5 linked regions of the Macaca fascicularis genome follow. The protein of the gene in region 5 interacts with the protein of the main gene of each other region in a biochemical or structural test. Links are inferred from orthologs where the notes say so. Each region holds a gene or a part of one and is shown on either strand. Other genes may lie near its edges.

Evidence for each region.
Region 1: the proteins of MPDZ (region 5) and KIT form a complex in vitro, tested with the Homo sapiens proteins (2 studies listed by BioGRID and IntAct, with this or other methods). The link is inferred for Macaca fascicularis from reciprocal best matches to the Homo sapiens genes MPDZ and KIT.
Region 2: the proteins of MPDZ (region 5) and CRHR1 form a complex in vitro, tested with the Homo sapiens proteins (2 studies listed by BioGRID and IntAct, with this or other methods). The link is inferred for Macaca fascicularis from reciprocal best matches to the Homo sapiens genes MPDZ and CRHR1.
Region 3: the proteins of MPDZ (region 5) and CYSLTR2 interact in a test that uses a peptide from one of them, tested with the Homo sapiens proteins (2 studies listed by IntAct, with this or other methods). The link is inferred for Macaca fascicularis from reciprocal best matches to the Homo sapiens genes MPDZ and CYSLTR2.
Region 4: the proteins of MPDZ (region 5) and HTR2A form a complex in vitro, tested with the Homo sapiens proteins (2 studies listed by IntAct, with this or other methods). The link is inferred for Macaca fascicularis from reciprocal best matches to the Homo sapiens genes MPDZ and HTR2A.

What each region holds. Positions count from the first base shown.
Region 1 is NC_088379.1:79,156,222-79,161,384, forward strand, and holds the end of KIT (mast/stem cell growth factor receptor Kit), read right to left. Parts: intron 5,021-5,163; coding exon 4,915-5,020; intron 3,769-4,914; coding exon 3,640-3,768; 3' UTR 1,486-3,639; downstream 1-1,485. UniProt on the Homo sapiens protein: Tyrosine-protein kinase that acts as a cell-surface receptor for the cytokine KITLG/SCF and plays an essential role in the regulation of cell survival and proliferation, hematopoiesis, stem cell maintenance, gametogenesis, mast cell development, migration and function, and in melanogenesis.
Region 2 is NC_088390.1:67,368,588-67,374,668, reverse strand, and holds the start of CRHR1 (corticotropin-releasing factor receptor 1), read right to left. Parts: upstream 3,906-6,081; 5' UTR 3,686-3,905; coding exon 3,653-3,685; intron 1-3,652.
Region 3 is NC_088391.1:27,791,736-27,797,839, reverse strand, and holds the start of CYSLTR2 (cysteinyl leukotriene receptor 2), read right to left. Parts: upstream 3,458-6,104; 5' UTR 3,370-3,457; intron 1-3,369. UniProt on the Homo sapiens protein: Receptor for cysteinyl leukotrienes. The response is mediated via a G-protein that activates a phosphatidylinositol-calcium second messenger system.
Region 4 is NC_088391.1:26,037,914-26,044,148, reverse strand, and holds the start of HTR2A (5-hydroxytryptamine receptor 2A), read left to right. Parts: upstream 1-2,463; 5' UTR 2,464-2,518; coding exon 2,519-2,930; intron 2,931-5,826; coding exon 5,827-6,027; intron 6,028-6,235. UniProt on the Homo sapiens protein: G-protein coupled receptor for 5-hydroxytryptamine (serotonin).
Region 5 is NC_088389.1:85,773,408-85,779,374, reverse strand, and holds the end of MPDZ (multiple PDZ domain protein), read right to left. Parts: intron 5,556-5,967; coding exon 5,443-5,555; intron 4,555-5,442; coding exon 4,431-4,554; intron 2,605-4,430; coding exon 2,458-2,604; 3' UTR 1,187-2,457; downstream 1-1,186. UniProt on the Homo sapiens protein: Member of the NMDAR signaling complex that may play a role in control of AMPAR potentiation and synaptic plasticity in excitatory synapses. Promotes clustering of HT2RC at the cell surface.

The sequences.
Region 1 (5,163 bases), on a different chromosome or scaffold from region 5:
ATAGCAACGTCAAGTTTTGCAGCACACTTGTACAATACTGTTTGCACCTAAGAAAATTAGAAGCAAGTTTTTGATTGTATAATTTTATATGAGTTGTGTCAGTACAGAAGCACCACCCTCCCTGCTTAATAAGGTGAATTGGCCATGGCAAAACTTATTAGGCATATGAACGAGCTGGTCTCGACAGCTTCACATTAATACATCAAGGTAGACACTACTCCCACGAACTGAGATTTCAAGAGCTAATCTGCCTAATGTCACACATCAGTAAGTGGTAGAGACAGGGGTGGCACTGAGATTTGAACCAAGTTTGAGCCTGGGCACCAAGACCTGGTATTACTTTCCTTTGAAAAGCTAGGCTGGTGAGGAAAATTAGCTAGACTCCTAACACAGGGGCCTGTCAACCGCTTCTAACGCAAATTCCTCACACATGACAAAGGCTAAATGACAGCGAAAACATTTGGAAAGAAAAGACTTCTTTGTTTTGTGGTCAATTAGCATTCATTCCTGTCTGTAATAAAATAATGGGAATCGCCTGACTGAAATGTGGGTGTTTTTCACTGATTATTGACGCATTCTTTGCCACACAATTCCCTCTTGATTTTAAAAGGATTCCTTTTCATTACAGGTCACTTTTCACTCCTTCCCTTTCCTCTCAGGAGACATTTCTGCAGGTGTAGATGTCACATCAATAAAGGCAGTCATGACTGAGAGTGTGTGGGTGCCTAATTCATTCTTAATAGGATTATGTGATTCAGGGTGCCTCCTTTGTTTCAAGCTGAAGGACTCTCAGCCTCTGTTTGGGTTCCAGTGGTCTGGACGGTATCACTTGGGCATGCAGAATGTTTCACCCGCATGACGGCACCCAGTTCATACATACTAAGCACCTCCCTCCAAGTCGAAGTGGAACCTAACTCTGTTCCAGAAGCAAGTAAGAATAAGGACTTCAGGTGGAGCATGAATATCTCATTTTGAAATGACCTGTCTTCAAAACCCAAGCCAACAAGAATACAAGCCACTTTCTTGGGATTCCTCATGTTAGCTTGGTCTATTATTTTACTGTTCATGTTTTTAGACGGTCTCTTCTGGGAGGAAACATGCCAGTCATATTAAATTAAGCCACATGAAGTTGCTGTTATTTGACCATTATTTTGCTGCCAAAAATGGCAGCAAATTCACGTGAATACCAAAAATTCACATGAATCAATCTAATAGTAATCATAGCTATGTGTAAAATTCTTAGAATGTTCACTGTATCTATTTTTCAATTTAAATAGAGACCTCAGGTTGTAAGACTAAAATGAGAAAATATCACACGGATGAAAATTCTTAATATCTGTTCAATCTCTAAGTATGTAAATCCTAGTATGATCTGATAGTCTTGCACATATTTTATGAAAACTGAGTACAAAATGTTGTCAGGATGAATGCACTTTAATGCTTTAAAGTTTAATCTCACGAATCTCAACAATCAAATGATTCCACTTGATTTATATATGTACATTTTATTAGAATTCTTCAGAACTGTCAACAATTGGACAACATACAGGAATAAAGCACGTGGAACACCAACATCCTTTAAACTTACGCCGCTTATGTATTTACACATAAAGTTACTGTATATATAAAAAATATTTTCAAGGACTCATGGGCTTCAGAATATTCAAAAGACATTATTGCTACATTTCAATATTTACAAAAAAAGCCACAAAATAATTTCAAACGTTAAGCCACTGCAAAGAAACATCTGATGTAAGAAAAAATTATAAAAATATAAACTTTCAAGAATATCCAAGACAAAACTCTCAATGAAGTGCCCCTGAAGTACCTAGACATCTATAACTAACAACCACTTTTCTTACTATAATTGAAGTCAATAGAAACACAAAGGAATTTTTCAGACAAAGTATGGCAAACAACAATCTCTTGGGTGACAACACAACCCCAAAATCTGTTAACTTTGGAAAGGTGCGAGAGCATAGAACTCCAGTGCAAATGATTACTTCCAGATAATGGCCACAGTTCTCTAAATGTAGTCTAAGAAACATAGAAGGGGGAAACCATAAAGGCAACATACCTGAATCTTTCAAGACAACACACAAACTCTGCCATGTACACATTTGCCTTTTATATTGGGCAGTGAGGAAGGAGAGTTTTTTGTTTTGTTTTTTAAAAGAGGTAAACTACAGTAATAATGTCCAGGCTACAGTCTAAAGGGTAAAATTTAAATGTTTCAGTGAGACAGTAGCATTATGGAAGGTCTAAGGAACAGGTACAGTAAGATGAGTCTAAATAACAGAGTGCCTTAAGTGCAGGTGGACTGCAAATACACAGGGACTTATGCCTTCCACTTCCTCCGCACCACTATGGAAGCTTCTGGTAGGCTACTCTAGATAGCTATGTGAAAAGAAACAAGAGCAGTACTAATAATGAAAGCCAAGTTACTTTTTGGGTACTAAAAGACCCTCTTGGACTCAGGGCAAAAATACCCCTCCAAATATTTGTCTACACGCATACAAACGTACACACACATATATAGATACTGGCCCGGCGTCCAGGACATGCCTGTGAAGGAGGCTGAACCTAAACTTTATTTCCTGCTACATAAGAATCGAAACTAAGACGGCAGTGTTTTCTCACTCCTGTGGGAGCCATGCAGTGAATCAGTAACTTTGTCAAACAGCATCAAATCCATTGAGTACAATGCCATTCTGAAGCTGATAGACTTGTTCCGCAGAATCTATAGAGTAAGTTCATCAGCTAAAAGAGGAGATTTTTAGACTGTGCTTTGTGGTTACACTGTTTCCTTAAAAAATGGTATAAACTATTTCCTTCAAACTTATATGGCTCTTAATCTACTTCTATACACAAGTGGACATAATGCCAGGGTTGTATACAGAAACGAAACCTTATGGTGTTTTCCCCTCAAATGTATGAACACGGACAATTTATAGATGCGTATATACAAGTTCTGGCTAGGGAGGCCTTCTCTCCAATTCAACGCTCTAATAGCAAACTCTGTTTAAAAACCAGGTCAGTAGTATAAAAGCTCATGCAGTGGTCCACAGAAGAGCATCTTTTGTTCACACTTGGGGATCATTTTTTTCATGGCCTATGTCTCATTCCCAGCATGAAATACTAGATTTCTTAAGCCCAGGTGTTCATATTCTGTCCTTTGTTCTAATGATGTTCTGTTTTCCACATAAAGGACTTAGGTTTTCCGCTTCTAATCTTGTTGCATCATCATACTACTATGGATGGTTCTGAAGGCCAAATGTGATTACTACCATTTATTCAGGTAAACTATCAACCATATTTTTGGGCAGAATTGGAGGAGCCTTGGAAAGGACTCTGGCCCCCAGCCCATACCTCCCTCTCTTTTTCCAAATCAGAATGTTTTCTGTTCATGGTAGGAGCTACTTTGCTATTAGGAATATATACAGTTCGAACCTTTGCAATAGGATGGTGGCTGATGACAAAAATCATCAACCACTAAAGTGTGCTCAGAAAGACAGGATTGCAGTGGGGTGCCCACTATCCTGGAGTTGGATGCAAGTCAAAAGAAAACAAAATAACCATCATGGAAGCCAATAGAAGAGGAGATCATTCCTGGAGGGGTGACCCAAACACTCATTCTGCTCAGACGTCGTCGTGCACAAGCAGAGGTTGGGAGGAGGAAGCGGTGCTGCCGACAGAATTGATCCGCACGGAATGGTCCACTACAGGCTTCTGTCGGTTGGGGCTGCAGTTTGCTAAGTTGGAGTAAATCTGGGGAAAACAAGCGCATAGTCAATACACCAGGTCCCTACAATGAACACAGCAACAAAAGGCATACTTACAGTGTCAAGATCACCACTAACTGATGGAAACTCTTAAGAGAGAAGTGGTTTACAAGAACTTTATGGCCAAAACCCAAGTCATACTGACAAAACAAATATAAGCTTTGTTTTCCCCTTCATTTTTCCAAAGGAAATAACTTCATACAAGAAGTAGGGACAAAACATGCACAAGCTTAGCTCTTCTAATGGGGCACACCAGGGAGCAAGCACTATCAAACCTATCTAAAAAGGCTTGTAAATCTCTACAGCCAACTACAACCCAACAACCAATGTAATTTGCCGAGAAACCCATGGCCCTTCCAGGGGTCTCCTGTCAAGAATCAAAGTAACTGGGTGAAAAATGCTGTTTAAGTTGAAACACGCTTTGAAACCCAGAAGAACAAGCTTTAACCCAAAAATTATCAGTGGTGTGCTATTAGGAAAGAAAAGATAGCTCCAAGCACACAGCCCAGTAAAGAAAGCAGCTTAAAAAAATCAGAGTCAAAGTATCACTAATTCTTCCTTAAAAGCAAGAGAGGAAATAATAGATTTGAGTTTTCATTCCCCCCCACTTCCCAAATCACTGGGAGGGATCTCCCAACTTCAAACAGCTCTTCATTCTATATGGCTTGTGGGCATGACAGCTATCTGCCATTTTCTGGCTATGCTTGTTTGATCAGAAGGCTTATTTCACTGCAGTAACAAGCTGTCTTTTCTATGCGTTTATTCTATTCACATCACCCCAACCCTCCAAAGGATGAATGGCCCTGACACGTGAGAGGGAGAAAATACTGACCCCATGACCAGCATTTGAGATAGGGGAGGAAACATGGCAAATCCTTACGGAAACTTCTACTTCCACTGAGCACAAAACTCTCCACCCTTCCCCCTCCATCTCACATCCTTCTTTGGCTCAGAAGAGGAGGGCTGGGCAGAAAGAACTGGTTTCCATTGCTTTACTTCCCCTACCTGAAGCCCAATTTGCAACCTAAGATGAGGAGAGAAGGGGTTGGGAGGTTAGTCCTCACCTTGAAAACCTGAGGAGGAGGACACACCTGGAACTGGGAGAAGGGGGATTCGGCCAGAGTATACTCACATGATTGGTGCTTTCTGAAATCTGCTTCTCAATTAGCTGAACAATTTGCTTGAATGTTGGTCTTTTTAGGGGATCCGCATCCCAGCAAGTCTTCATTATGTCATACCTGCGAGACAAGGGCCATTTACTATCCCTCCTCAACACCCTCAGTCTGTTTTCAAATGTATGGCATCCAGCAACTTCAGTAATAATTCCAGGGCTATGCAACTGGACATACGGACTGACATATGGATAACATAAAACACTGCA
Region 2 (6,081 bases), on a different chromosome or scaffold from region 5:
GGCCTTTCCCCTTCAATGGCTGCTGCAATTATCAGCCCAGCACCTAACCGCTTGCTTCTAGGCCACATGGGCACTTGGGTTGGTGGCACCTTTGACCCCCAAACTCCTTATATGTGGCTGAACTCAGCTGCAGGCCGATGCTGTCTGAGGAGCCAATGTTAGAGAGGGTGAGAAATGGATTTTCCACTTGAGCTCGTCCTCACTGGCTCTGGGTGAGTGTTCTACTTTTCCATAACCTACACATTCCTCTCTATGGCTGGTCATTTCAAATCTAAGGGGCTTGGCCTGGCTTTCGCCACTCCCCATTTTGGCCCCCAGTCTGTGGCCAGGCCAGCAGTCCCGTACGCCACAGCAGCTCACTGGCCCACCCTGGGCTCACTGTTTCGCGTTCCTCATGCCTCCTGCCAACGCTCCCCTCGAAAACCTGGCTCCATATCATTTAATCAAAGAAACAACTTGGAAATGGCCCAGATATGCACCGATATAGGGATGGCAAAGTCCATTCACTCACAGGCAACACGCAGACATTGACAGTCTCCTGCGGAGGCTCGGGAATAACGTGAAACAGACTTGGGCTGTGACACTGGGGACAGGGCTGCCCAACGGCCGCAGCTGTGCCCAGACAGGTGCTTGAGAAGGGGGTTATTTTTTAAATGAATTATACAGCAGCCGGATTAAGAGAGTGAGGTTGCAATCATTTTCCATTCTGGTTTTCAAACTTTGCCTATTGCTGCTAAATTGCTTATGTAAGAATAACAATAGCAATAAAACCAGCTCCCTCCTGGGAGCTCACTCTCCTGTTAGAACCCACCGAGAGGCCTTGCCTTCTGTACCCCTCACAGACACGGGGGTCCATGTTTAGAGCCACACTCCATCTCCCTACAAAGAGCTGCAGTGGGTGTGTGGTTGACTCCGAGGTGCTCAGGCCCCTGCCCCTCCCTGGGGATAGAGACAATGTCTTCTCTGTCTTCTCCTGACTCACGGCCACTTTCACACACATTGTCTCTCCCCACTCACACGCACACTTTCACACACCCTGTCTCTCCCCATTCACACGCATTTCCCCCAGGACTCTATAAGCGGTATAGTGTGAGGCCCACAATACAGGCCCCAGAGGGAGCCCTTTCCCAACCCCAGCTGACTTGTTGGGGACAGAGCTGGATTTGGGATTAACCCTAAATCCCCTAGATTCATACTCTCATGCTGACAAAACTACCTGAGCGCTCATCTGGCTGAGCTCTACAGTGAAACTTAAGTGGCTTAGAATATTTTCTGGTAATGGCCAGGCACAGTGGCTCATGCCTGTAATGCTAGCACTTTGGGAGGCTGAGGCTGGCTGATCGTTTGAGCCCAGGAGTTCGAGACCAGCCAGGGCAATATGGGGAAACCCCATCTCTACAAAAAATACAAAGATTAGCTGGGTGTGGTGGTGCATGCCTGTGGTCCCAGCTATTCTGGAGGCTGGGGTGGGAGGATCACCAGAGCCTAGGGAAGTTGAGGCTTCAGTGAGCCATGATCACACCATTGCGCTCCAACCTGACCAACAGAGTTCGACCCTGTCTCAAAAAAAAGAAAAAAGAAAAAAAAGAAAAAAAAAAGGATATTTTCTGGTAAAAGCAAACAAAACAAAGCCTTTTATCAGAGTGTCTGGGTTTGAATTCTGACTACTCACTGGTTGTGTGACCTTGAACCAGTTACTTAGCCTCTCCGTGTCTCACGAATAATTCCTACTTCCTAGGGCTGTTAGGAGGACTAAATGACTTAATATTTGCAAAGCAAATAAGCAACATTAGAATAATGCTCAGGGAATTGTACATGCTACATAAAGAAAAGAAGAAAAGCAACTATTTAATTGTAACCAACATTTGAAACCAGTATTTGCTGGCCATTCACTCACTGCCCCACATTCATCTGGTGTTTATTGAATGCCTACTGAGTTTATTAGGCCAGGCATAAAGGGCAAATACCTACCATCTAGTAGGAGCAACGGAAATAAAAATACTTTTTAAAAAGGAAAACATCATCATTCTAAACAGAGATTTGCACACAATTCTAAGAAAGGCCAGAAAAAGAACATTGATCTATTTCCGTGTAAACCTGGAAAAAAAAAAAGAAAGAAAGAAAGAAAGAAAACACCCACAGTTCAATCCTTTGAATCCATTTAAAAGACTGACTATTTGGTGTAACTGGTTTGTGCATTTAGACCTGGCTTCGGTACACACGAGACTTTTGGAAAATATTACCATTCAGTGCCATCTATTCCACCTCTCTGGATGTTTTTCTTCTACCTTCCTCACCTGTCTGTCACTTCAAACGCCCAGAAAATAATCTGTGAGTTCATCCCTAGCCCTCAGATACCGGATGAGGGAGGGGATGTGGGTTCAATGAGACCAACCTCGGTCATTTTAAGAATCAATTTATAAATATTTGGGGGAGGGGCAGGATTAGAGAAAAATCTCAGTAACTTGTAACGTCTCAACTAAGGAAGCAGCAGCTGCTGCATTTAAAAATCTTGGTGGCTTAACTCAAACCAGTTGGTTTAATAACTGATGGAAAAATGAAATTCCGCCAATCCACACCCCTCCCCCAAATCCACCGAAGTCTCTCGAATGTAATCGCTCTGAATGCCCTGAGCCGGGTCAAGCTGGTGTCTATGTTTGGCTGGAGCGGACCCTGCGGAGTCCCGAGCCCCGGGTGAGGCGATGCCCAGACTGGCGCGGCGCGGGGTTTCCCGGCAGCCGCGCAGAGGCCCACCCGCCTCTCCGGCCGACTGCAGCGGGCGCGCCTGTACTCTACAAGACCAAAACGCTTTGGAAAGCGCTCGGGGCTGCAAGTGACGCCTGGCACGGGCGGCGGGCCGGACTGCCGGCCTCCCAGCCCTTCCCGGGCTCACACAACCCGCGGGCCGCCCCCACCGCCCACGAACTTCAGCGGGCAGACGCTGGACGTGCGGTCTGGCGACTTTCCTAAACTCCAGCGCCCGATCCGCGTCGCAGGGTCGGCCGCGCAGCGCGGAGATCGCGGGTGCCCAGGCTTGCAGAGCGAGCGTCGCGCTCCCGGCCGCGGTGGGGGAACAGGAACCGCCGCCGGAGGCACCGTCTCCTCCCCTGAGACTGCGATATTGATCAAGGGCTCGCAGGCGCGGGCGGCATTCATCTCCCCGGGCTCGCAGCTTGCCGCGGAGGGGAAAGGGCAGGACGCGTTCCCAGGACTAGGGCGGGGGCGTGCGGAGTCGGGGAGCTGTGCGGGGGCTCTGGGGTGAGGTGGGGAGCCCCGCTTCAGAGCCTCCCGTCCCAGGGCCGGGGTCTGCAGGGGGGTGTGGGAGGTGGAACCTCCCCTCCCCTAGGCTTCTGCCCCAAAGCCTGGAGCGATTCTTGGCGCGGAGCCGGCTACCCGGGTGGGCGGACCCCCTCCTCCGCCAACATCCCGGCGGCTTCGCCACGATTTCTTGTCTCACCTGAGTCTCCCCCTGCCTACCCAACCCTGGCTCCAAAGGTCCCGAGAGTTAGGCTGCCCCGGAGCCCAGCCTTCCGGGACCTGAGCACGGCTCTCCCAGCGCCCCCGCCCCCATCGCACTCACAGCCCAGCCCCGTCCCGCGTCCGCCAGGGGCCCGGGACGCCAGCGCTCGAGGACTGGCCGGCGGGCTCTTACCTTAACGAGCCGGAGCTGTGGATGCCGTGCCATCCTCGGGCTCGCTTGGCTACCGTCCTGAATGCCCGGGTCCCGCGGACATCCCAGAGGGGCCGGCGGGCGGCTGTGGGCTCGGGCGGCACGGGGTGGGCGGCCGGGCTCCTCGGTCGGTGCCTGGTGCGGAGGTGCCCGGCTCGGCGCTCCCCGGCCCCGCGGCCCGGCCTGGCCCGGCTCTCGCTCGCCCCTTCCCGGGGAAGTCTGGCCGCCGTTTCCCGACTCAGCCTGGCCCGCGGCCGCCTCTTGCCGGCCTCGCCCCCGCCGCCTCCCCCACGGTCCGCGCCGCTCCTTGCCTCGGCTCCCCGCCCCCTCGCCCAGCTCGTCCCCTCCCCTTCCTCCCCCTCCCTCTCCCCTCCGCTCCCCTTCGGTCCCTCCTCCGCGCCTCGCCCCTCGGCTCCCTCCCCGCTCCTCGCCTCCTCGGTTCCCTCCCCTTCCCCCGGCCAGCTCCCTGCGCCCCGCCGCCAGGATCCCCTTTCCTTGCGCCCGCGTTTGCGGCAGTCCTCGGGGCGCGCTGGCAGCGGTGGCGGCCGCCGCAGCCCGGGGAGAAGCCGGGGATGGGGGAAGGGGGCCGCGGTAGAGGGTCAGCCTTCCGCCCGGCCGAGGTCGGGGCCTGGGAAGTCCAAGGATTCTAGGGGGACTTGGGCAGGGGTGCTCAGGTGAATTTATGAGGGCGAGGCTACTGGGGGCTAGAGAACAGGGCGGTCCCTACTGAGCGGAGCCCCCGCGGAACCGGGTGAAGCTGCGACCTGCGTTTGGGCAGTTCCCGCCCTGCGGCTGGCTAGGAGGAGCTCCTCGCCGCCCCCATTCCAGCCGCGCCGGGAGCTGGGCCCGACCCCCAGCACCTTTGGCACTGATGTGCCTGGTGCGCGCTGAGACGCGAACGCTCTGCAGGATGAGCCCTTATTCATTCCTTGGTTTCTTCCTTCATTCGTTCATCTTACAAACTGAGTGCCTGGCCACTTTGGTTCAGGCAAGAGGCTGGATCTGGGAACCCTTTGGACCTGGGAGCCCCAAGATGAAAGGGAGACGGCGGTGCCCTGCAGGACAAGCGGGCACTGAACGCTGCCCAGGGGAAAGCCGGGCGCGCATTGCGCTGCAGCACGGCGAACGCCGCTAGGAGCCCGCGGGCAGGGCGTGGGGAGGACACAGCGCCCCCTCCCGGCCGAGCCCTCAGGGCAGCGGTGGGCCTCCCCGCCAGACCCCGGGGCCGTCTTTTGGATTGGCTCCGGAGCTCCCCATCCCAGGAAGGAACTCCCAGCCCTTCCTGATGAACAGAACTTTTGACTTCCTCTTCGCTCTTCCTCTCTCCTACCAGAGCTGAAAAGGGAGAATAGGAGAAGAGGAGTCACTGGGAGGTAGAGAAAAATTCACTCCGCCAGCAAAGCCTCGGCCGCCTGGCCAATGCAGCCCCTGTGGGCTACACCAGAGCACCTGGAGCGGCGGGCAGCTGGCTTTGAAATCAAACAGAACCCACCTGCCCTGCACCCTGTGCCCTGCCGTGCCCACCCTACTCCTCTCTCCTGCTGACTTCTCAGCACACTGGGCAAGAGCCAGCGTGTTCATGGGTCCACTGGCCTTCATTTGGAGCTGGAGTTATTTTAAGAGATCATAAGATGCAACACACACAGTTTACTGGTGAGAAAATGGAGGTACACAGAGGGTAAGCCTAGTCCCTTCCTCTCCTGATTCCCAGCTCACAGTGCCTGGAGGGCTGGGCCCTAAGGGGGCCTGGGACATTGACGTGGGGAGGGGCATTGCCCAGGAAGCCAGCTGCTCACATGGCTTATCCACACACCTGGCACTTTCTAGGTGAAGCACACAGTCCTGAGTCGCAAAACCCGCATTAGGTTAGTGCTCCGGAGCTGTTTGTGCCGAGGTGGGCACTGACTTGCCCCAGTCAACCCCAGAAGGGATGGACATGCTAAGCAGATGGACAACTAACTGTTCCCAACAACAGTTAAGTGCGGTGCAGTCTGATGTCCTGCAGGTTCTGGAGTCAGACGGCCTGAGTTGGAATCTTGGCTTTTCCACTTACAAGCTGTATAAACTTGGAGAATTATTTAACAATACCTCAATTTTCTCATCTATAAAGTCGGGGTAGAAACGCTACTTCTGAGGGTGGTTGGGGAGTTTGAAGGAGTTGATATTTGTAAAGCGCTCGGAACGGAGCCTGGCACATAGCAAGAGCTTAATGAGGGTTAGCTGTAGTCACCAATACTATCATCATCCTCATCATCACGATGGAGTGGACTGGATGCCCAAGTGTGAGGGGCAGCTTGGTCCCACCCTCTAGGCAATTCTTTGTGGGGAGCAGAATTCTTGATCAGAAATTCACCAGCAGCAGTAGGCTGTGGAATCAGAGGAGAGGAGGCCGGTTGGTCCTCTGGCAGCTT
Region 3 (6,104 bases), on a different chromosome or scaffold from region 5:
AGAAGCAAAAAAAGTCTACCTCTGGTCCCAGCTCTTCCTAAGGACCCTTCCAACTTTGGAATTTCTTGACTCCAACTCACTGCTTAGACCCTTATCCTGGGCCTCTCAAATAATAACTAGATTTCTCTGTCAAAAGACTCTGACTATACTGCCACAAAGTCATCAATCCATTGGAAGAGGTTTTCCTTTAAATTCTGTCAAGATTATATTTTCTCCATGGGTCAATTAATATAAAGAGGTTAATAAAGTTCCACAGAGATAAACATTAGCTGTAACTAAAGTCTGCATTCACTGGTGAATCGATTTATTTACACAATGCCTTATTCTCAATGGAGTTTATGTGCTAGGTTCTATGCAAGGACTCCAATGTCCAAGTCTTAGTCCAATAGAACCTACTGTACATAAGTAACTGCAGTACAAAGGAGGCAGTGGCCAATACCCTGATAAATAAAGAAATACAGTGCTAGGGGTTTCTGACATGGATTTCAAAAAGCTCTCTAGCAAAGCTAAGCATCCACAGCAAAATACTTGCCTTTCTTTGTATTATCCAGTTTGGCTGCCGCATTAGCCAGAGTTCATTGGGTAATTGCACAATCCCTTGTGAGGCTTTTATCTTAAAGCCTTACCCTTGGGGAACTAGAGTGCCTCAGATATCTGGTGCATAGAGCAAACTATAGAAAAGCAGAAAGGATCCTTGATTCTGGAGTACACAGGAAATCTTAATGATGCCCAAAGTAACCATCATGTATTCATGTACACAGCAATGAGTAGTACACTGAAAAAATATATCATCTTTCCTCCAAAACGGAGGCTGCTCATGTGATCCCAGGTGGATGGGAGGCAGAGTGATATAATGAATGAAACCATGTGCTTTTGAGTTAAAAGGGTCCTGGGTTTAAGTTTCAACTCTGCCTTTTAGTCTCTTTTATTACTGCAGCCCTCTGAGCTTCAAACTCTCCTCTGCCAAAGGAGCACTGGAGTGAGTACTGATGAAAAAAAAAATGGATGTGAAGTGATTAACTTGGTGCCCAACACACACAAAGAATTCAGTCAGTACTAGCTGACAATCACAATAAAATTTGTGACAATAACGTACAAAACTCAGAGAATTAAATAGCAGCCTTCTTTACGGCCAAGTAAAAGATGGGGCCATTTCATCCGGAGAAGAGCCAACCAGAAAGACATGAACAATTCTATTTACTTTCCTTTATTTTTATTACACAAGTAGTACATGTTCATGGTAAAGAAAAATTACAATGTAATACAAGCTGAAATAAACTTAAATTATGAACTTTACCACCAACCAGACATATCTAAAATTTCACATATATGCTTTTTTTCATCTTTCTTGAAATATATGAAAATATTTTTAAACAAAAATAAGCGCATTTATAATACTGTTTTATATCTTGCTTTTTTCTTATTTCCATGCCATGATCACCTTTCTTTGCCAAATAACAACATCAATGTCATCATCTAACTGGCTACAGAATAACCAATTATATAAACATTATGAAATATGTTTAACCAATTTCCCACAATAGCTATTATTTAAGTTGTAAGAATGGACCATGTGCCCTGGGCTAAACCAGATTGGACCAGTTCTGGTTCCACCTGGAAAAGATCCTATGTTCTCTCGGTCTCATCTTTACCATCTTTAAAATAAGAATTACTCCAGTTCTTAAGGCTAGTATGTGGATCAAATGAACTGATGCATGTAAACGTGTTTTGTAAAGTACTATGTGAATGTTTACATTCATTAATGAAGGTACTAAACAGGTGTTCTCCACTGAGTCAAAACAAGAAGAAATTTGATTAACATGCTGTTGGTCTCGTTGGGATGATTCCTGGCCTGCAGCAGGCTAGGAGTGCAACAGCAAATGCTTCAATGTGGTTTAGGGGCTCTGGCTCTGTTTTCAGTCCCCAATGGGAGAAACCAGAACGCAGCCCTGGCATAAACTCTGTCCACTTTCCTCCTGAGGACATGAGGTCCAGAGAAGGTAAGTGCCATGTCTATGGGGCTCCTGAAAGCCAGAGTGAGCCACCTTCTGCCTCCAAATCCAATGCCATCGATCTTCACTGTGCCCACAGTGTGTTAGTGACTGGCCAGCTATTAAATGCCCACCTTGTGTTTAATCTTGAAGATTGCAAAAGAAAGGAAGCCTGGCTGCCTTGGCAGATTCTAGCAGATATGGGCGTGATTCAGGTACATTCAGAACATACGACAGCCTCAACTTCTCTAACTTTTAACCATCGAAGCACTGGAAACAAATCCACCTCTTTAAAACATTAGTAAATCGAAACACAAGTAGATTCTCATCTCAAGAGTTTATGTGGCTGAGGTAGATAGAAATTTCTAGAAGTCTTATGTTTCCCCCCAAATTATTCTGTAATTTGCATTATGTATGTAGTGTTGAAAGGGAGATTTGATTGGATTGCCTGAAATTATACCTCCCTTTCTCCTAATACATATTACTCTCAGGTATATGTCAGAGACAGAAAAATATTTTGAATGACGTAGGTCATCTGTTTTTATGCCGACCACCTATTAGAATCACCTGAGAAGTTTCTGGAAAACAAGACAAAATACTGCAGATGACTTGCTGATCTCTAAAAGTTAAGCTTCAATTATTCTAGGGGTAATTTTCTAATCTCCTCAGAGTCAGGTGATTCTGACTTGATGTGCAGCCAGAGTTGAGAAACACTGGTTAGGGTCCCAGTGGGGTAAGGAACAGATTATATGCTCATGATCTCACATACTCTTTCACTCTCATTGTGCCTCTAAGCAAAACCATTGAAACATATGTGCTCAGATTCAACTTCTTCTACCTCTAAAACAAGACCCTGAATGAAAAAAATATATCTTATATAATAAAAGGACCCAAACTATGAAAAATAGGATAACTGCTATACAGCTAAAAATGGAGGAAGTAAAGTTCCTCAATGCAATATTATGCAGCAGCTTTAATTTATGATTACAAAGAATTCACAGCAACATGGAAAAACCATAGACTGAAATGCAGGAAATGAATATAAACGTGTCCATAGTGCAGGGACGCAACTATGAAAACTAAAGTTATATGTGCATATACACATTCACAAACACGCACACACACACACACATACACACACACACACACACGGAAAACCCCCAAAATATCAATAGAGGCTATCTTGGTGGAGAATTTGGCTTCCTTTAACATTTTTGTACTTTCACAGTATTTTTTAAACTACCATGTACATGATAGGAAAATAATATTTATAGTAGAACAAAACAAATTTACTTTTCAAAAATTACTCCTCTATTACGTGATCTTCAAGTCATGATTCTCAACACTGAATTAACAAAACAAAGATTAAAATGCCCACCTGAAGTTCTCTGTCTTTCAGCTGCCCTGGCTTCTGCTGCCTCTATCTCTTCTGCCTTTCTCCTCCAAGTAATTCGGATTGCTCATTTAAAAGAAAAGGGAAACAGCAAATTATATTTATGAACAGTGCCAACCAATAGCAAGAAAGTCAGGAAGTGTAGCAGGTCATCTGTGCTTTTTAGAAGCCAGTATAGATGTCAGTGCAAGATCTCTTCTCAAGAAGGGGGAAGATTTCCAGTTAAGGGCTACATCTAAAAAGAAGAAACCTAAAATTGCCCTGCCCCTCTAATGACTGGTTTTTGTCATTATCTTTCTCAAGAGAACAAGCGGATATAATGGGTTAGAGTCAGGGATTTTAAGTGGCTTTTAGTTCTCCTGAAAGGTTTCTGTTTCCATGGCAACAGAAATAGCAACACTGCCTTACACACACAGCACTTTAGATTTGTTTAAAGCACTTCCCTCACTCACTTATATTTTCAATTCACTTGCACTCCAGCAGAGACCTTATCCACTCTGCTGAAAATGTTCTGTCAGAGGTTACCAATAACCTTGTTGCTCACATAAAAAATCCTTTCTCAGTCCTCACCTTCCTTCCCGTCTTGTTTGCATAGTTGACCACTACCACTTTCCTGAAACTTCTTCCTTGTTTCTCTGACTTTCCTGGTTCTTTTTCTCCCCCTCAGATTGCTCTTCTTTGCCTCTCTTTCTGATGCCTCTTCTTCCATCCCTTTTCTACATGTGAGCTTTCCCCAGAGGTCTGTGTTCTGACTTCTTCCCTCCTTCTCTTGCTTTTATCTATCTGATGCACAATCATGGCCAAATTTAATGTGACCCAGATGGACCTTTTCTCTTCCCCTCTTAGTCCTGCATCCCCCCATCTACCCTGTCTAAACAGTGGCACCACAATAATTTAGCCCATCCATAAACCTAGAAGTCACTTTTAACTTCTCTCTTTCTTCCACCACCCACTTCTGAGCCAACAAGTTCCATTTGTTCTGCCCATAAAATATGTCCCAACTCCAACCATTGCTGACCTCCCCATCACTGTTCAAATCCTCATTTCCTGGATAGAAAGCTGCAGTAACATTAAGCAAGAAAAATACATAAAAGGGATCCAAATTGGAAATAAATAAGTAAAATTATATCTGTCTGCAAATGATAAAATTTTATACGTAGGAAAACCTGAAGATTCCATACACACACACACACACACACACACACACACACACACACACACACAAAACCCCAATAGAACTAATAAGCAAATTCAGCAAAGTTGCAGGATAGGAAATCAATACACAAAAATCAGTTGCATTTATATATACTAACAATAAACAACCAAAAAAGGAAACTAAGGAAACGATTCCATTTAGAATAGCATCAAAACGAATAAAATACTTTGGATATATACTCAGTAGTAGGGTTACTGAATCTTGTTGAGATCTCTGCACTCTCATGTTTACTGTAGCACTATTCACAATAGCCAAAATATGGATCACCCTAAATGTTCATCAACAGAAAGATGGATGAAAAATGTATATATTCACAATTGAATACTATTTATTGATTTAAAAAGAACAAAATTTTGTCATTTGTGGCAACATGGATGAGCTTGGAAGACATTATGTTAAGTGAAGTAAGCCAGGCATAGTAAGATAAATACTGCATGTTCTCATATGTGGAAGCTAAAAAAGTTGACCTGATAGAAGTAGAGAGTAGAATAGTGGTTACTAGAGGCTGGGAAGGGGAGGAGGCAGGGAGAGATAGACAGAGGTTGATTAATGGACACAAAAGTTGATCAGTGGACATCTAGATAAGAGGAATGTGTTCTAGTGTTCTACAGCACTGTAGAGTGACTGAAATAAACAACAATTTATTGTATATTTTCAAGTAGCTAGAAGAGCAAATTGTGAATGTTTTCAAAAATAAATGCCAAATGTTTAAGGTGGGGAATATGCTAATTACCCTAATTATACAGAACAGTTGGCAAAGCCTGCAGCTGCCCTTGTCCTCTTCCCACTCCCAGCTCCCTCCCACATATGAAGAGCTCCACACTTAGGCATGGGGAATTCTAGCCCTCACATCCATGTCCCCTCTCCCCTCAAAACAGCTGCTCTTGGCCACCTGTAGGATGTAGGGCTACACAAACTGTATGCTCTGATGCAACTAGGGAAAAGGCCATAACCTTTGAGGACACTTGGCTGGGGAATTCTCAAGTATCTAGAGCACAATACAGACAAGGAAGTGTCCCTCAGCCCCCGAGACTCTCAGCCCCCTTGGAACAAGAAAGGGGTTGGATGAGGATCAGGGAGGACTCTAACCTGTCTCTGGTCCTCATTCAGCCCTTCCTGTCGCAAGGGGTTGGGACCCCTCTGGTCCTCTCTGGTCTAAAGAATGGCACCAGGACAGTATGTTCTTATGCCTAAGTCTAGGAGTACTTAGGCCTTCATGCTCCAATCCCAGATCCCTTTCAGGTTCTACTCCTCTTGGTTGCTCTCCTGCTTTCTTCCCATGCTCCAGTCAAACTGAACTATTTGCTTATCCCTAAAAATAAAAAGCACTATTTTGGGGCCTGAGAGGAGCCCAGGATGGTAAACAAGGAGACTGGCTGCATTGGAAAGAGATTAGCAAATGCTTTCTTGAAAATAAACAAGGCAGGCTTTGTTTGTTTTGCTTGTTTGCAGTTTGTTTGCTGGAACTGGAACAGACCTTAACAATCGTGGAGTCCAATCCCTT
Region 4 (6,235 bases), on a different chromosome or scaffold from region 5:
CAGACATGAGCCAAATACTCACACACATTATCTCATTTTAGCTTCACTACAATCTTATGAGGAAAGTACCACCATTATCCCATTTTACAAGTGAGAAGACTGAGCTTTAAAGGGAGCAACTAGATGATGACAGGTTCTACTGTTTATGAGTTACAGAGCTAGGATTCAAAACCAAGGAACTCTAAGGTCTGTGTTCTCCGCTGCCTGCTCGCCAGTGTGCACATTTGACATGGAGGGGTAGGAGGGTGGCAGGCAGGGCAGTGAGGGGGACACTAAGGCACCCACCCAGGAAATGGATGGCCCAGGTCTCAACCACAGGGTGCGAGCTGCAGGCTGCAGGAGAGGACATGTGAGAAATATGCATACAGAGGTAGCGCTGGAGACTACGCTGGGATCTGGCAGACAGAATGAAGAGTTATAGATAACAGCAGCTGTCTGAAGAGGTGGTGATTCCATCACGCAAGTGAATGGGTAGGAACAAGCACTGAGAGCAGGGCAGGGGGATGGAGAGTGAGGGAAGATGCTGAGGTTGAGGTCTCATAGGCTACCATGGAAGGAGCCAATGGGCAGCTGGAGATTTAAGTCTGGAACTGAGGGAAATAATCAGCTATGAAGGTACAGACTTGGCCACAAACATATTGAAGCCATGAGAGTAACTGAATTTGTCTAGGGAGAACGTGAAGAACAGAAGGTGATGGAACTCTAGAAAAACCCAGCTATTGAGGAAAATATTTTCATGCCTGCAGAAATAGAGAGATCGAACTGCTTCCTTGAGAAACCTACTTGGGAAAGGGCTTTCTTCACAAGTAAGGCAAGTTGTCATTACCGGTGGGGGAAAAAGTTGGTACTGCAAAACCAACTTATTTCCTACCACATGTGAGGTTTTGAATAACATCTGGGTGGCATACTTCTGCTGAAGAAAATAAGCCAGTTCAATGGCATCTCTATTAAACAAAAATAGTGCTAATAGTGTATCAGAGTTATCACCATAGATGTGCCTGGCCACCCTGAGCCCATGTGGCCAACGTCAGTAATTCCACTCTGGACACAAACACTGTTGGCTTTGGATGGAAGTGCCGGACGCTCACAGCACTCCCAGGACGTACTGTTTTTCAGCCTTATTTATGTTCTCTCTTCACCCTTCAGCCTAAAAAATGACCACAGTGCCACTTACCCACCTTAATGGGAATCTGCACGAAAGGCCATTTCTCCAGTTTCTCTCTCTCAAAAGCAAAGGAAAACTCCCCAATATTAATATGTAGCAAAAAGAGGGAGAAGAAAAAGCCTATTTGGTCCGCCCTCCTGGCTGTTGCTACCTTGCAGCTTATGACATACACATAGAGGGAGGTCTGATGAAGTGAACGAGGCAGCCAGAGAGCTACTCCATTCCCGTGGAAACCAGGAGTCCCTTGGTGCAGACAGCTCTTCCTACTTTCCCGTGCAGTTCTTTTGTGTGACTTTGAGGGGCTCGTGAATGATTTCTAAATGTGTGCCTGCTGAGGCGAGCCGCACAGGGAGGGAGGAACCCAGCCGAGCCGTGCCAGAGGAAGCCAACAGGATCCTAGCAGTGCGGGAGCTGGCTCGGCTCTTGCATGCAGTTTTTGAAGTCAGCAAAACAGAAACCAAATTACTATCATATTATGCTGGTGGAAGCTCAAGAAGAGGGGACTCTACACCAGTTTAATTACTGTGAAAGATACACTTGTTATTCTGTGACTCGCTGCATCTCATGTGTGGACCCTGAAGACAAATGTAAGTTCTCGTGCCGCTATATTTTATTGCTATGTAATTTTCTTTCCGGTTTGAAATCATGCTTGGCCAACATGTAATCATTTCAATGAGAATTTCTAGTGAGCAAAGTTGTCTGCTAATCTTTACTTAAGACTTTTTTGTTTTCCTTTTATTAGCTAAGCAACATTGTGGGAGCTGAAATTCCTGACGGCAGCTGTGGCAATTCAGCCTAAGAATGGCTGAGAACTGTAACCCAAAGTACATCCAATTACTATGGGATTAACACTGGATGTATTTTTAATTGACTTTCTTAATGTAGAATGTGTACATCCCCGCTGTTTCTGATTGCATGCTATTTTAATAATACTGTGGCTAAACTAGTACTATCGGCATAACCAACAAAATGAGATATAAACAAGAGTCCCAGTAGTTATAAAACTTTTCTTCTTTGTCCAGGACATTTATCTCCCCGAATGCTCAAAAAAACCTGCAACCTCTATGCTAAAAGTTCATTCTGCTTTTTTGTCCTCGCTTTGCCGAGAAAATAATAAAATCAAACCGTGGACTCTCCTAAAATTGTGAATGAAGAAAACTTAGAGCCACCACAGTTCGGTTCTTTATCATTGTAATAATTGTAATAATGGAAGACAAAAATCCAGCCCCGGGAGACCAGCATGTACACCAGTCTCAGTGTTACAGAGCATGGGGACATCAAGGTGAATGGTGAGCAGAGGCTATAACGTGTTAGTCCTTCCACACCTCATCTGCTACAAGTTCTGGCTTAGACATGGATATTCTTTGTGAAGAAAATACTTCTTTGAGCTCAACTACGAACTCCTTAATGCAATTAAATGAAGACACCAGGCTCTACAGTAATGACTTTAACTCCGGAGAAGCTAACACTTCTGATGCATTTAACTGGACAGTCGACTCTGAAAATCGAACCAACCTTTCCTGTGAAGGGTGCCTCTCACCATCGTGTCTCTCCTTACTTCATCTCCAGGAAAAAAACTGGTCTGCTTTATTGACAGCTGTAGTGATTATTCTAACCATTGCTGGAAACATACTCGTCATCATGGCAGTGTCCCTAGAGAAAAAGCTGCAGAATGCCACCAACTATTTCCTGATGTCACTTGCCATAGCTGATATGCTGCTGGGTTTCCTTGTCATGCCCGTGTCCATGTTAACCATCCTGTATGGTGAGTGGCATTAGTTTCCCAGCTGTACTCGCACTGGTAATAAAGAGCATGTGCATGCCATCAGTAGATGAGATGGGGCTCAGGAGGCAAACAAATGATAAATAGAAGGCTTTATTTATAGACTAGGGTCTACTATGTTACTTATATTTTACTCTTAAAATGGGATTTCACATAAAAATCAGACAGTCTATGACCTGTGATCATTAGAGAGTTTCGTGCTTTAAAACATGTACATCCTGTGTAAAAATGATCATTGGAAAGTTTTATGCTTTAAAACCTGTACATTTAATGTAGACATTTTTATAAATTACCCCGATGCAGTCATAAACCAGTAACTTACCCGTCATTCTGAATCTACTTGATTTTTGCTCCTTTATATTCCCAACCAATATTCCAGCCTTCAGGACAGAACAGTTTCATCTTTGTCACACAGTTTTCAGCACTTCTAATGGAGTGATAAAGCCTTCCCAATTACCTTGAACATTTGCAGGGAGGACATTAGTGGTGCAGTAGGTTTTATGTTAAAATATGCAGAGTCTCCATTAGAATAAATGAATTACTCCAGTTTTAATTGTTCCCTGCCCAGAGAAGCTAATTTGGAAATGTGCCTTTGAATTATATCCTCAACTCTTTAAAAATGCGTATGCATACACTCCTCCCGTCTGGTTTGGAGGAGGGTGGGAAACAAATGGGAAGGGATTAATCTTGCTTTCTTCTCAACAGAGTTTGAAACAGTCAAACCTCTCAGCAAGGGACCAGAATGTGATATTCTTTCCAAATTATGAGTAATACAGCCAGATACCTCCTTAAAGGAGAGAGAGACTATTGTGACTGCTGACACAGGCACGAGCAGCAGTCACCCCAGAGCTTAGAGACAGGTTATGATAGCTATCTTTAAGGGGAAATTTTCTGGCCAAGTCTTAGGGGCTAAGATTTAAAAAAAAATCAACCCAGCCCTGGAGAGTGTGAAGAAGGCAGGCGGTAGGCAAGGGCGAGCAGGCGCCAGTTTGCACAAAGCTGGTAATTCTCATTGCAAGTCCAGCCTTCGCTTGACCATTTAAATGCCACACCAGAATGATTTCATTAAATTTGCCTGTCCTTTCCCCGGCATCCTGGGGAAGATTCTCCCCTTCCCAAACCCCCTCCCCTAGGGGGCAAACTCCAGTGGGGGTAGGAGGAGTGACAGAGCAGGAACCAAAACAGCAGCTGGAGGGTGGGGTGACCCCAGGCGTCACCCGCTTGGGGAGCAAGGGCGCCCCCTGGCGGCCGCCACTCTGAGCGCAGCCTGTTCCCTCCGGAGCCCCGCCCCTCCCTGAGCTGCTCCTCCCGCCTCGCCCAGTCCACGGGGCGTGGGGCATGAGGCTTCTCCCACAAGGAAATGCCCCCTCCTTATCCCGCATCGGAAACACGGACTGAGGCCTGGGCTGCCTGCTTGCGGAGAAAACCCCTCCGAGGGCCATCTGTTTCGAACAGAGAGAGTGTGGTTTCCCCCATCAGGCGCTGCAAAGGAAAAGGCTTTCATTTCAGCTCAAGCTCTTTGCAAATAATCTAAGTGAATGGATGTAAATTAGGCTTGTACGTACGCTCTTTACTTATCTAAGTATCTCCTGTGGCATTTTGGTAGAGAGTGTACGTTTGCGTTGGAGTTTGTTCAGCTTTGTGGGTCTGTAATAAGAAAAGTGGACTTTCATATTTTCCTTCTCACATGCAGGCAGATCTAACTCCGCTGCTTATGCTGTGATCAAAACTAATTAAAGTTTATATAACTGCTTGATCTACCTCCAAAACACAAAACCAGGACACTTTGTTTATGTCCATAAGGCACACTCTAACCTTCCTCATACAGCAGGTGACCTGCAGTGTCTCTTACATTGGAATTGTCTGGGGAGCTGGGAAAAGGCTTTGCAAACGCTTTGACATTTGATGTCCACCTCAGCCCACCCTCCAAAGATGATTTAATTGGGCTGGATTTGGCACAGGCATCAGGACCTTCTCTAAAGCTCTCCAGCTGATTCTGATGTGCAGCCAGGATTGAGAGCCACCACCCTAAAGCAGCTGTTCACATAGCTTGGTCCCTGGACCAGCAGCATCCGCATCACCCTGGAGCTTGCTAATTCAAATGCAAATTCTACAGCCTGCTCCAGACTAACTGCATCAGAACCTCTGGAGGGAGGTCCAGCAGTAAGAGGCGTGGCAGAGTCTGATGCTCACTAAAGTTTGAGAAATGCTTCCCTAAAACAAAGCTCAGAGCAAGGACACCTTCCTTTATTTTTCTTCACCCTTGTCTTCACCTCTCCCTACACATACCCTAAATTTGAGTTTGGCACCCAAAGCATTATTAGATCATTATTTTTCATTTTTACAAATAGACATATTCACAATCTGAATTTTTAATCATTTAGTCATTTGCACCAATGCAATTTATTGCCATCACTGTATGGGACTGGATGGTTATAATAATGACTAAGAGGTGAGATTAACCTCAGGGAAATACAATCCAGAGAATCTGTGACTAAATCCTGACAGTACAGGGTGAGAGGTGCTCCAGAAGAGGAGCCAAAACACAACTTTTGACATAAGCCATTAAGAAAAGTTTTGCCAGGTGTAAGGGGGAAGAAAGAGAACCCCCAAACAGAGACAATCTGAGTTTCCATGCCACACTCACATCACTCCAGACGCTAGAAATTTTCAAACCCTGCATTCATCAGCCAGTGCTAGCTTATCATATTTAAGTACAGTCGCCAGTGGGCTTTTTTTCAAATACTAAAAATATATTGTGCTGTCCCCTTTGCCATCACCTGTGCCTGTCCCAGAGCTGGAAATTGTCATAGGGTAGGGATCCGCATGCTCTAGGAGGCACAAGGTTGCTCACTGACACCAACCTTCTGCCTCGTAGGGTACCGGTGGCCTCTGCCCAGCAAGCTTTGCGCGGTCTGGATTTACCTAGACGTGCTCTTCTCCACGGCCTCCATCATGCACCTCTGCGCCATCTCGCTGGACCGCTACGTCGCCATCCAGAATCCCATCCACCACAGCCGCTTCAACTCCAGAACTAAGGCATTTCTGAAAATCATTGCTGTTTGGACCATATCAGTAGGTAAGTGGGAACATATTTCAGAGTCTCATTTGAAATGACAGTTCGTGCTTTCTGAAAAGACTTGTTCCATTTTGTTGTACTGAAACCTGACATCCTCAATCTACTGTTTTGGGTGGTACAAGATACGTTACAACATCGTAATTATCAGATTCGCTTCAGGAAAGAAAAATCTGTTTATGTCACTGGCTGACAACATCAATTTGTATTG
Region 5 (5,967 bases):
CTTCTGAAGGCCTGAGGGAAAAAACATGCCTTGTCTCTTCCAGCTTTTGAGGGCCCCCTAGGTATTCCTTAGCTTGTTTGTCTGTTTGGTTTTATTTTGCCTCCATCTTCATGGGGCCTTCTTCCCTATGTCTGTGCCTTCACAATGCCTACTTAAATGGAAACCACAGTCATAGGATACAGCACATCCTAAACCAGCATGAACTTAACTCACTACATCTGCAAAGACCCCATTTCCAAAGGTCACGTTCTGAGGTTTCAGATGGACATGAATCATGAGGAGACACTATTTAACCTGGGCTGTTCTTGTTGGGAGCACTTAGACATATTATGAAACTTGAAGGGGTTGGTTGGCTTTCTCCCATACAGTCTGGTAGGGAGCATCCTCTATAAAAATTACTTGCTAGCTCAAACTCAGATGGGAGGTTAGTTCATGTTCCAGCAGCCTACCATGAAATAATGGCATCTTTCATTATGGAGAGCCACTAAATGATGGCTAAGAAGGTAGATGTGTCACTGGGATACTAAAATGAGTTTTGTTACATTGGGCACCTAAATTTACAATGATTGGTTAACAACTTTTGAGTTGTTGCAATATGTAGTTTCTTCTATTTATTTTGTGTAAGAATCACTGAATTCTCATATTTTAGAACTAAGTAGAACCTTTGTGATAAAATAATCTATCATTTTGCAGATAAGATGAATGAGAGGGAAATGCATGTTTGTTAGCTAATTTGGTACAAAACTAGTAGAGCAAATTTCCCCTCATTCCTTGCTCAGTGTTCAAGTTGGACTTGTCATGTTTATTAATGCAAATAATTTTGATTATGATTTTGTCCATCTGAATACACTTGAATAGTTCTTGACTACACTGAAGAGCAACTTACAATATTACTGCATTAACAGCATCTGAGAAAAACATATACAGGCAGGATACTTCTCTTTCTACAATGTCATCTTCCTCTAATCTATGAGGAGTCTATGAATCTTTAGTGTTAGAAAAAATTGTGGAGGTAAAAAATATTAAGCTTTCCATAATGATGTTGTCCAAAGTTCCTTTAGCTGTAACTATGGACACCGTATGTGCAGTTAGACATGATAAAAACCAATTTTAAGTTGTAAATCTTGAACAGTATATAACAAAGCTTTTCCACAGTAAAAAGAACAAAAAAAATGCTTGCTGCTTCTTTATTTGTGCACCACTGAAAATTCTTATTTATTCACTTTAATTCTGCATTTACACAAAAATGCTGTAATAAAATATCTGTACACTACTTCTGTTACAAATATAGATAATATTTAAAGTGACTTTATATATTCTAATGTAGGAGTTTCACGCTCTAAAATGGGAATGAACACATGATAATTCCTCACCAGTTGTCTCAATAAACAGCTCCATCTGTTTCCCTTAGTCTTAAACTATTGTATTATAAGATGTTAATATAAGGCGATGAAATGAAGTTATGTTAATCGCCTTAATTTTTCTATCAATTTACTAATGGCAAACAACCAAAATAATTACTAACACATTGTTTTCTATCATTAAGATTAATATGAATTGAAAACCAATTGCACAGCACACTAACACATTTTTAATGTTGCATCAGTTGTTAAAATCAGCACTAAAGATTCTGGGACCCTTCTATGTTCCTCTATGATTAGCAGCATAGTTGCTTTCTAGAAAAACCATAGTCAACATGGGGTGGCATCATCATTTACTTATAGCAACATGAAAATATTTTATAAAAGGTCAAAAATAAAAATGAAAATTGAGATGTGCATTAAATATAATTTCTTTATAAAATTTAGGGACATTGCTTCATATATTTGCTATTTACTCAATTATAGAAACCAATTTTAGCAGGAAAAATACATATGCATGTAAGAGGTGGGGAGATGCAATGTTTTTATTATACTGTGTTGAAAATTTTAAAATACTGACAGTATTTTTAAAGATTTTTCAATAGAAAACTTTTTTTTCCTTTTTTTAGTTTGGGGTGGGGAGAGGAGGTAGATTGCCAAATTGAGGCATTTTTTTAAAACTCCCCAAGACTTTCTTCTTTATTTTATATTTTCATTTTTCATCCTAATTTACTGAATCCATTTTTTTTGGTTAGCTTTAGAATTATCTTTCTTTATACTAACGAGATTAGCATGTAATAATTCTTGCCCATGTGACTACAAAACGTTAGATATCTTCATAAATAAAAACCAGATTCACCTACACAAATATTCCTTCTCTTTTTTAAGTTCACAAAATGCAAGAAGAAAAGAAAAATGATGTGAGGTTGTCAGTAAGGAAAGCATTTCTATATGAGAAAAACACACTTAAGTGTTATTTCCCCCCTATAGTTTTGAAGACCCGCTGAACACAGCATAAAAGAAGTCAGGACCAGTCCATTCTCCTCACAGTAGGAGGTGAGCTAGGGGTGGGGTTGGCTCAATTCTGGCAGCCAATTCAAGACAGAACCATCAAAGTGACAGTGCCTTTTGTCCGTTTAAGGATGGCAACAGCTTCTTCATGGGTGACTCCTTCTAGACTCTGCCCATTGACAGCAATGATCTGATCGCCCCTTTTCAGACGTCCATCTTCAGAGGCTGCTCCCTGCAAATTATAAGGTAGACTTGTTTATTTCTCAAAAAATGCTGCCTTGCAGCTCACAACAGAAAAAGATCTCAACAGGAATGTAAATTGCTCTGCATGTACACACACATTGCTCCCAGTGCTCCATGGGTGCTCTAAGCCATTAAGCAATGATGAACATAGACAAAGAAGGTCTTTCTCCTAAATGGTTTTAGCATTGAGATACCAATTTGAGAGAGAATTTAGCAGTCAACAGATTAGTTGGATGGGTTTTTGGCTGTTCAGCACAGCAGTTGGTGGGAACACAAATTAATAAAGAATATTTGGGAATTTGCCTAGTAGGAATGATTCAATAGAATCCAGGATTTTCTATCCTGTAAAGAAGACCTACAGAAAGAAGGTAAATGATTAGGCAGGAACAAAAATAGTTTTACAGGACAATGGCTTGAGGGATGACAAAATCCAAAGGTCTGAAAAGCACAAAGCCACCTGAACGTTCACTACGGCAGGATAAGGCGTAAGTTCTAAATTTAAAACCCACTGCTATTTCTAATTCTTTTTGTGGTTTTGAAAAAACTATGCAAGCTGTCTTAGTTCTTACTTCCCAAGGGTAGAGAGATTCTTCATATTCCTTATGGACCCTAAATGATTAAGATTAAATACAGACATTGTTGTTTGAAAAAGAATAAAGCATGCTTATAGAAGACAATTATACAATTAAATATAAAATTAAAGATATGGAAAAGTTAATGAGGAATCCATAATGATGAAATTCTTAAAATATGTTCTAACTAGCATGCCTTAAATAAATTGTTCCTAGGCTGAGAAAAAGGACTGTGGACTCTTCTATTCACTAGCAAATGCTGTTTGTATTTTTGGACATACCAATAGCTTTTTAAAAAATCTTATAAATTAAGCCTATAGCTAGCTTGTTGTAGGTAACAGCACTTTAAATTGGCTTAAAAAAAAAAAAAAAAAACCTTTTCCAAAATAATAAAATAAAACATCCATAAGGGACCATACCACTAATCCAAAGGCCCTATATCAAATTTTTAAACAGGTTTGACTAAGTTTTGTTTCTTTTTACACTATAAATTTTGAGATTCTAAATTTTTCCCTGCAGGAATCTTGTCCAATTTTGTAGCTCCTGAAAAACGACTTAACATATTAACAATAATTATATGGGTTTAAATTATTTTAATAGGTTTACCAGTACTGCAATATCTTTACTCTTATTCTAAACCTTAAGATAGAATAGGTATAATTATAACTAGACAATCTTGTTAATTGAATCTCTTGATTGCAAATCACTGACTTATCATAGATGATAGGGTTGCTGGATACTCCCTAAATTTTTTTCAGTAGTTATTTTTGTTTTAGTCAATGAAATTAAACTTATAAAATAAATGCTTATTAATTTTCATGTGTACTTTATGTACTTCTCTATAACTATTTTATACTTCACGACGACAAAAATATGCAAACAGAAATATCAGTGCTCTATAGCATACACATTTAAAATGTTCCATTTTCAAAAGACAATCATGTGCAATTTGTGTTCAAAGAAAAAAAAATAGGCTTTACTAACCAAAGTTCATTAATATTTTTATGTATATTGTTAAGAGTTTCCATGGAGTTTCAATTTGAACCTATTTTCCTTTAAATATAATGAAACCTCAAATTGGACAAAAATATTTAATGACCTGTTCCTGTAGGGAGTTTTGAAAAGAAATGATCAACTGTTAACCATTTGGCATTACCTCAGGCCATAAACTAATAAGCCAGCTGCTGACCACTATTAATGAATGTTTAGGGGAAAAGAGGGTGGTTAAAATTTGCAAGCTTACCTTTGCAAACACTGTTTTAACATAAATGGGTAAGTCTCCATGAGGGCTGCCATATCCTCCAACTATACTGAAGCCTAAGCCATCTGGTCCTCGCTCTAGTGTAATAGACTTACATTGAGGAGGTCTACGGTGAAGGAAAGGAAAAACAACATTTAAATTAAAAAAACCCTATATCTATATATATGTTATGAATTATCTGACATCCACCTAAAGCTAGCATAATTCTCTTTGTCACTGACAAGGAGTATATTATGGGTATTTTTGAGATGCTTAAATTGTCAGTGCACGCTGTGCTCGGTATTTTAAATTTACATAATCTAATGAAATCCTACTTAACACCCTAATTCTATTACTCATTTACAGTTCCCTTAAACTAACATATTCATGGCATGTTCTCGTTGTACAGAGAAGCTCATTCTTTTTCCAGTTTATTTAAAGTGAGAGGGCTAAAGTTCAGGGGACAATAACAGAATAAGTCATAAACATCAGTACACCCAAGCTCAGAGAGAAAAATCATTTATAAGCAATGGAAAAGCTGCATCAAATTATTTAAATTTTCTAATGTGCCTCTCTCTGTTTTCCAATGCTTTTTTATCCAATTGTTGTTACTTAATACCGTGAATTTTTTCAATCCAAAGTATAATATGTTAAATGAATAGGCAGTGCTGGAAATTTTAAAATGATAGATTTGACTTGCTCCATATTACATGAAGTGGTAACATCAAGATTAAAATATCCTCCGCCCCAAAATCAGAGCTGAAACCATGGGAAGGGTAGTAGCATGCCTATCTATCTAGCTAGTTATCTATTTCTCTACTTATCTTTGATCAGCTAAATCCATGCCATAATTATTTGAGTTTGGAAGCACCTGATATGTGTAATTCATACTTCATATATCCTATCATTTTACCTGTACGTAATTCCTAGAAACACGGGACAGAGAATGCAACTGTCAGGAAGACTTGATTCATAAGTAAAAAATGATAACACTAATCATCATGTATGAGCGCACCCTAAATCATCCTGAAATATACTGCTTGACGTCAGCCCAGTGAAAGAAAGACTGGAACTTGCAGGCTCCTGCTGATGACCTGTGACCACACTCACATCTCCTCCAGCAACCACCTGCACACAGGAGAAGGATAAACAGAAAAAACACATGTTCCTGGGGCTAAGGAAAGTAATTTTTCTTCAAAAAGAGCACTTGGATTAAAATGTACATTTTATTGTCCATTTAATCATTTCTGTTAACATAAAATACAACCAAAGAGAATGAAATTTCACAAGGTCCAGAGGCCTCTTAACTGTCCTGACAGTAAACACATTCTTCTAATTCTATTGTACAAAGTTTTTTTTGACGTTTTTAAAATGTGGTCTCATATGTAATTATTTTTTAAAGATCTTTGGAATACAAGCCACTTGCTAGCACTACTTAAAACTCTAGCAAATAATCATGTACTGCTAAGGCCTGGATTTTTTTCCCCTTAAAGTATAAAACAATCAATGCATCCGAGTAAAATGTTACAAAATATGTTTC